Linked DNA regions of Struthio camelus. The protein of the gene in region 2 purifies or fractionates together with the protein of the main gene of each other region. This does not show direct contact. Links are inferred from orthologs where the notes say so. Each region holds a gene or a part of one and is shown on either strand. Other genes may lie near its edges. The genes, in order: NOP2 and NIP7.

What was found.
Region 1: the proteins of NIP7 (region 2) and NOP2 purify together in Homo sapiens (affinity purification with mass spectrometry; 3 studies listed by BioGRID and IntAct, with this or other methods). This does not show direct contact. The link is inferred for Struthio camelus from reciprocal best matches to the Homo sapiens genes NIP7 and NOP2.

Annotation. Positions count from the first base shown.
Region 1 is NC_090942.1:90,922,803-90,926,701, reverse strand, and holds the start of NOP2 (28S rRNA (cytosine(4447)-C(5))-methyltransferase), read right to left. Parts: upstream 2,885-3,899; 5' UTR 2,799-2,884; coding exon 2,693-2,798; intron 2,613-2,692; coding exon 2,567-2,612; intron 2,488-2,566; coding exon 2,429-2,487; intron 1,886-2,428; coding exon 1,626-1,885; intron 1,318-1,625; coding exon 1,274-1,317; intron 1,116-1,273; coding exon 955-1,115; intron 170-954; coding exon 1-169. UniProt on the Homo sapiens protein: S-adenosyl-L-methionine-dependent methyltransferase that specifically methylates the C(5) position of cytosine 4447 in 28S rRNA. Required for efficient rRNA processing and 60S ribosomal subunit biogenesis.
Region 2 is NC_090951.1:1,622,505-1,626,374, forward strand, and holds NIP7 (60S ribosome subunit biogenesis protein NIP7 homolog), read right to left. Parts: upstream 2,218-3,870; 5' UTR 2,147-2,217; coding exon 2,091-2,146; intron 1,614-2,090; coding exon 1,527-1,613; intron 1,414-1,526; coding exon 1,275-1,413; intron 1,197-1,274; coding exon 1,056-1,196; intron 957-1,055; coding exon 837-956; 3' UTR 587-836; downstream 1-586.

The DNA.
Region 1 (3,899 bases), on a different chromosome or scaffold from region 2:
TTGAGCAAGAAGTCACTGTAGGAATAGTAAGCAGCCATGTCCCGGCGCAGCAATGCAAGGTACTCCTGTCGCGTGCGTCCTTCCTCTCGCTTCACCCCAAAGTCCTGCAGCACCTCCATGTTGCTCTTGATGCGCTGGTGAATGATGTGCAGGTCAGGCGGCTCAGCAGGTAGAAGGACCATTAAGAATTGTAAACGACCAAGGAATTCACACGCAGGCCCTTCAAAAGCACAGCCAGTCATGCAAAACTCCTGAGTCACTGCATACAGCACCTGCACCAGAAAGGCCTTACTGGAGTGTGCACATCTACCATGTATCGTTTGCTACGCTTTCACTGGAGTTAGGCAGAAGGGAGATTCAAAGGATAGCAACCAGATAAGGAAGCGCACAAGGCAGGGAAAATAAGGTATTTGCAAAAATTCGGTTTGGTTAGTCTAGAAAAGCAGAAAAGGGGTGGGAAGAAGACACGTGGAAAAGGCTTTTCAATACTGAAAACATTTCCTGTAACGCAAAGGAGACTAAAAGTTCTCCAGAAGCAATTAGAGAGAGTAGAGAAGAAAGAGGTGAAAAAGATCACTTAAGCCCAAGAACACGCGCTTTGGATGCTGGAATTGCTGTCATCAGAGGCTCTAAGAATGAGTTAGACAAACACATACCCAGGAATCCAGGTAGAAGGGAATTAACTATGCGATAGACACCCACATGCATTTAGGACTGGAAAAAAAGATTGAGGGCAAGGTCCAGGCTCCATACAGGGAATAACAGGTTCCCTGACCGTGCTGTACAGAGGTGTAGAACCACATAGCTACCACTATCTGTTAGGGCAATTCAACTAAAAACGGCTTGTCAGGCACCAACGCTCATAATAAAATGTAAATGAAGCTCTACAGTTGCACTCAAGCTCTGTAGTGGCACAGCTACGTGGTTTACAGAGGCCACAGATGAAAAGGATATTCTCTCTCTCAATCTGTTCATCAGTTGGCAATTTGAACTGCTCATCTACATCCAGATTGAGCTGCAGATCCGCACTCTCTTCTTCCTTCTGCTCCTTCTTCTGCCTGCCTGCCTCTTCTGCCACCTCTTCCTCTTCACTGTCATCTTCACTAAGGCCTCCCCTAGGTATAAAAAAAATATAGTTTTTTTACACAATAGCAGGACTCCTCAGACACTTTACAACTATCATCTCTTGGATGACAGAAGAACGAACAACCCAGGCTCCTCGTGTTCCAACCAGGAAAGACTGTGCTGACCCCTGACGCTCTCAAATCCTCACCTATCAGATTTCTGCTTCAGGGCGGCTTTTTCAATGGGCAGCAACTAAACAGAGAGACAAAATATTAATGAAACAGTATCAGCTAGTATCAACTACCCCTTTAATCTGTGCCATCTCTATGAAATATACCTGCTCTGTTTAAAAAGAACAACAGATGAAGGCATTGAGTGTTCTGCTGAGACCAGTTGCTAACTTAAAATTCCCTTCTTGTGAAGGGAAGAAGGATAAAGCTGTTCTCCACCTCGCCATCCAGCCTTCCAGTAAAGTTACCCTTTCCCCACCAGGGCTGCTGGGTCCTTACAGCCAGCAAAGCCAAGTTTCTTCTGCAAAATCGAGGGCAAAAAGCTCATACCTCTTCTTCCTCAGAGGAAGAGGCACCATAATCATCGACCATCTCCTCGCTGCTCCCATCCTCCTCCATCTCCCAGGTGCCCTCTTCCACCTCATCATCACTGGATGACTCCACGTTGTTGTCTTCAGACTGGATTTTCTTGGCTTTGGCTGGAGTCAGCCATTTTGAATTGCCATCGCTGAAGCCAGACTGGCAACGATGGGGTTGCGCTACTACCTTTTTGGGGTGTTTCTCCTTCGATGGGGATACCTGCTCCTTAACTGCAGGCAGAATAAGCAGTTAAGTTAGGCAGTATTTTATATGACAGCTCTCCCAGTTTTTGACTTGTTATGCAAAGCAGCCTCCTTCACTCTAGCCCGGAGCTGCTTGTCTAAGAGAAGAGACTGCTCCCCATACTGGTTTGCTCAAGCACAAAGATCCCCCCCCAACCAAACCCGAAAAAGAAACGACTAGAATTGCCAAAGAAAAATACAGCTACTAAGTCTTTTTAGTGCCTGTCCTGACATACCGCAGCAGCCCTATTTCTCAAATCTGTGTTTATCCCTTCTTCCCGCCGTGAGAGCTTACTCGGACGCACGTGATTTAACGCAGCACGCTTAAAAGCCTCAGCGCCCCAAGGTGCTTACGATACCCACGACGCGAGCGGAATAAAAGGCAGAAAGAGGCTAACGCACAGAAGAGGGGGGCTTTTTACCGATTTCTCCTTTGCTAAAGGCGCTCCCCGCTGCATCGGAGAGCAGGTGGTGGAACTCAGTGGAAAGACTGGCTTGAAGCGGGGCAGCCCGCCGGGGCCCCGCACTCACCTCCGGGCTCCCGCCCCCCGCGCCGCTCCTCGCCCGCCGCCCGCCGCCTCTTCGCAGCCCTGCAGCGGGAGGGGAAGCGGCCGTCAGCGGCGCCCGGCCCCGAGCCAGCCCCGCGCCCTCCCCCGCCGCCGCCCTCACCTCCTGCGCCCGTGGCTGGACAGCTTCCTCCGGCCGGGCTCTGCCTCTGCGGGAGGGAGAAGCGCCGTTAGGTCGGCGGCCCCGGGACGGCGCTGCCCGGGCGCCCCCAGGCCGGGCCGGGCTCACCTGGCGGCAGGAAGCGGGCCAGCTCCACCTCGGCCCCGCGCTGCTTGCGGGCCTTGCGCCCAGGGCCGCGCTTCTCCTTCCGCGCGGGGTCCAGCTTCCGCCCCATGGCGGCGCGGCCGCGGGTGGCGCAGCCGGCTCCGCGCTCCCCCGCCGCCGCCGCACGTGCCGCCCTGCCCCCACCCGGCCCCGGCCGCGCACGCGCCGAGCCGCGGCTCCGCCCCCTGCCCCGGGGCGGGCAGCCCAGCTCATTGGTTGGTCACCGCTTCCGCCGCTCGCCGAGTGGCTGAGCGCCGGCCCAGCCTGTGACGGCAGCGGCCCCCGGCCCCGCCCCCGCGCGTGGCGTGGCCCGGGCTCGGCCGGGCGCAGGCGCCGCCCGCGGCCGGGAGCGGCAGAGGTATGCGGGCTGCAAGCGTCAGGGGAACGGTAGACGGTTCAAGCTTCACCAGGCGTAGGCTTTAGGTTGTAATGACAAAGACCCAAGTGAAATTCTAGGAAATGACTAAAGCGTCAGGCAACAGCAAGAGGGGTCAGTGCCAATGCAAGAAAGGTGTAGCATACTAGAAGCCCTGCTTTTTACAGGGCAACAGGACAAGAGCAGCAGTAGTTTGCTGATAATAATACAGGGAGAGGGAGTGAGCCAGCTGGTCACTCTTGGTCATCTAGCATTCTCCAGAAAAGCTAAATTAGAGGCAATAAAATAAAATACAAGGAAACTTTATTTTTCAGTCCTATCAAGATTTTCCTTTTTTTTTTTTTTCTCTCCTTCCTTCAAGCTGCTTATTAGTGGACAAGTCCAGTCAGTTTTTGTATTAAAAAGGATTTTGATGGAGGTAGCTTTGTCTCTGTCCTGGCTTTTGCTTGGTCTCACCTGTGCACTCATCTCAGTAAACAAACTCAAAATAAAATTAAAAACAAAAACTGGAATTCCAGGCCGAGGCAGCGAGCAACACAGCCAGGTTCTCCATGTAACAGACAGGGCGCTGTGGCCTCCAGTCACTATATACAGAGTCCATCATACATCCCCCTCTCTCCTAAGCACACTCTTTCCTCCAACAGCTGGCTGCAGAAGGAGTTCCTTCTCCCAGAGACCTGTAGAGCAGCTTCCATGGAGGGAAACAGCACCCAGTCAGGAATGTCAGGCAGAGGGGTAGAGTGTGAAGGGGTGGGTCACTTCAGCTTGGCCAAAAGGTCAACAGCACTGGGCCAG
Region 2 (3,870 bases):
TGAATTGCTCCTCTGCATCTTCACACCAGTCCCCCTGCTGCCGCAGGACGGGGAGGGGAGGACCCGGTTCTGTCTCAGGGAGGAGGCAGTGCAGCTGGATGCACAGAATTCCCTGGGCTCCTTCCTACTCAGCTCTAGCCCTGCCTCTACTGATATCACTTTGAAGGAAAAAAGCTTGAAGTAATTGCCTTAACTTTGTGTTTGTTGGGAACAATGTTATATCTCTACCAATCTTTAAAGACAGAGTATTAACATGCCTTTCCTCTTAGAAACACAATAAACAAACCCCTGGCACAATCAGAGAGCGCTGGCTGCAGTCCATCCCCTGCAAGCCGAAGCGAAGCAAGACCTGCCCTGCAGGTAGCTGCCTGCCTGCTTCCTCCCTCCCAGGGAAGCACAGCTGTCAGCTTTGCCAGGCTGCCTCCCCACGAGCCCTGGCTGCTTGATTTGACGCAGATCCCTGTGGATTCACACTCTGCGTGTGTTACCATCTGACACCAACCTGAGCAAGGAAAACTCAAAACATAAATCAACCCTCAGCATGGGGGATGAGGACGGACACCCTGAAGCGCTGCACAAGACAAAAGACAGTTAACGAGAGGGGGAAACGGCTTTATGTAATTGCAACGCCAAACCTGCCACTCTGGGGAGCGCCATCTCCTGTTCACAGCGGCAGGACCCCCCGGGGCCCAGCAGGTGTGGGGCAGCGCTGCTGCCTCCTACCGCCCCGCGTGGGGCAGGCTCCCTGCTGCCCCGTGTGCCGGCAGCACGCAGATGGCACGGGACAAGGTCCGTTCTGCCCAGAATCACTCACATCTTCGGAGCGCACAACTCCCTTAAGTCAGCGTGTCCTCGCTCCGCACGTACTCTCCAACGTCAGCCTGGTGAAACACCACGATCGCCATGGGGTCCACCTTCCGGCAGTCCTGGGTGGACTTTGCAGCTACCCCAAATCCCTGCGGATGAAGGAGAGGTGAGAAGGACGGGGAGTTTCTCACCCCAGCAGCTGTGTCCCCCCCCACCGGAGCCTGCTGGAGCCAGGCCCAGCCACTCACCAGCGGGACATCGGCCATGGAGTACACCACCACGCCCTGGTACTGGGCCGTGTTCTCCGTGATGCGGCCCAGGCCGGACTTCAGCACGTGGTTGCCATAGAGAAAGGACTGCTCCGAGCCAGGCTTCACCCAGACCTTGTACTGTGAGAGAGGCACAGAGAGGTGAGGGGCTGCGGGGGCCGGGGCGCATGGGGCTGGGCTGCGGGGGCCACGTCCCACCTTGGCGTAGGGTGCGAGGAAGTCCAGGGCCGTGACGTTGAGCCGGAACTTCTGCGTTTTGGTGAACTTGCCGAAGCAGGTGCCCAGCGCGACCAGGCTCTCCCGGGGGATGCTTGTGGCCACCTTCAGCAGCTTCTCACTGAGGAGAGAGGGGGCAGGGCTGCAGCAGCTCCCGAGCCGGGAGGGCCACACGTGCCTGCAACCGCTTTCCAGCCTGGCCCAGCGCTCCCCCAGCGCCATGGCCCCGCTCACCTCACGTAGTAGACGCGGTCCCGGTGCAGGCGGAAGCAGTAGGTGCCATCGGGCCGGTCCACCAGCAGCTGGATGTTCTCGCCAATGCTGCGGGGAGAGGCTGTGAGTGCCCGGCCGCCTGCTGCCCAGCCGGCCCTGCCCCACAGCGGCCCCCGTCCCACCCGAGGCCCTCGGACACACGCGCCCCCCCAACCCCTCTGCTGCCCCTCGGTCCCCCCCTCCGCCGCCGAGTGCATCCTCAGTCCCCACTCCCCCCGTGCCCTCAGGATCTCCTTGTCTCCTCAGCACTGCTGACCCCGTCCCAGGCCCCTGCTGGTCCCGGTGTCCCCAGGTCCTGGACCCCTCCCCATCCCTCAGTTCCCCCCTATCCCGCAGTCGCCGCTATCTCCACTCAACCCGCCCCTGCGTCCGCTCCTGCTCCCTCATTATCTCCCATTCCCCTGTCCCCCCGCTCCCTCGCTGTCTCCCGGTTCCAGTCCCTCTCCCCGTCCCGCCCTATCTCCCGGTCCCCCTCCCGTCCCCCCGCTCCCTCACTGTCTCCCGGTCCCTCTGTCGCTCCCTCACTATCTCCCGAGCTTCTCGAAGACCGCGCGCGTCTCCGCCTCCGTCAGCGGCCGCATCGCCCCGTGCGCACGCGGGGCCGCGCCCGGAAGCGGAAACGCAGGCTGCGGAAGCGGAAGTGCGGGCCAGCGAGGGGGCGGCGCGGCGGGCAGAGCGGCGTCGGCGCGGGCCAGCGAGGGGCGGCGCGGCGGGCAGAGCGGCGTCGGCGCGGGCCAGCGAGGGGCGGCGCGGCGGGCAGAGCGGCGTCAGCGAGGGGCGGCGCGGCGGGCAGAGCGGCGTCGGCGCGGGCCAGCGAGGCGCGGCGCGGCGGGCAGAGCGGCGGCATGGCGGCGGCGGCGGCGGCGGCGGAGGAGGCCAGCCTGCTGGCCTGGCTGCTGGGCGGCGCGGCGGCGGCCGGGCCCGGCGGCGCCGAGCTGTCCGCCTACCTGGCGGAGCTGGCGGCGCTGGGGCTGGCGGCGCTGGGCCGGGAGCCGGCGCGGCTGGCGGCGGAGCGGGCGCGGGTCGGGGCGCAGACGCGGCGCCTGGCCTTCGAGCACTACCGGGCCTTCATCCGCTCCGCCGAGTGCACCGGCCGCGCCGGCCGCGGCTTCGGCGGCATCGAGCGCCGCCTCGGCAGCCTGCTGGCCCGCCTGCCCGCCCTCCAGGAGGCCTGCCGGTGCGGGCCGGGCCGGGGGAGCCCGGGGGGCGGGGGGCGGCCGGGCCCCCGAAGGGTGCGCGGGGGCCGGGGGACAGGCTGAGGCTGGGGGCGGGCAGCGTCCCGGCAGATGCCCCGGCCACGGCGGGAGCCCGGGGCAGAGGTGGGGAGCGGCCCTGGGAGCGGGGGGGCTGAAGACCCAGGAACGGGGGTGGGGGGCTCCCTGGGGCAGCGGCTCCAATGAGGGCGGGGGGGGGAGCAGGGACTGGGGCTGGGAAGAGGCCCTGGGCAACGCTGGAGCCAGGGACGGGGAGAGGCCGGCGGGGGTGGGAGGGTCCCTGGGGGCCCCGGTGAGGGAGCTGCCTGCCCGCGGCCTGGGGCTGGCGCGGGGAGCGGGCCCTCGCGCTGATCCCGTCCCGATCGCACAGGAACTTCGTGCGAGATGCCGAGGAGATCGCCTGCAGCCGGCGCATGAACAGCCTGACGCTGAACCGGCACACGGAGATCCTGGAGATCCTGGAGATCCCGCAGCTCATGGACACCTGCGTCCGCAATGGCTACTACGAGGAGGCGCTGGAGCTCGCCGCCTATGTGCGCCGGCTGGAGAGGAAGCACAGCGCCATCCCCGTGATCCAGGTGCGCCCTGCTCCGCCCCGGCCCCGCAGCTGCTTCGTGGCGCCCGTGGCTGAGGCTGTCTCCCTGTCCCCAGGGTATCGTGGATGAAGTCCGCCAGTCCACCCAGCTGATGCTGAACCAGCTCATCCAGCAGCTACGCACCAACATCCAGCTGCCAGCCTGCCTGCGGGTCATCGGCTACCTGCGGCGCATGGACGTCTTCACGGAGGCCGAGCTGCGCATCAAGTTCCTGCAGGCGCGGGACGCCTGGCTGCGCTCCATCCAGGCCTCCATTCCAGACGACGATCCCTATTTCCACATCACCAAGACCATCGAGGCCTGCCGCGTCCACCTCTTCGACATCATCACGCAGTATCGCGCCATCTTCTCCGACGAGGAGCCGCTCCTGCCCCCTGACGAACAGGTCCTCAACGAGGGGGCCATATTCCACGGCTGGGTGCTGCAGAAGGTCTCCGAGTTCCTGCAGGTGCTGGAGGGCGACCTCCAGCGCGGGGTGGGCGGCCGTCTGGATTC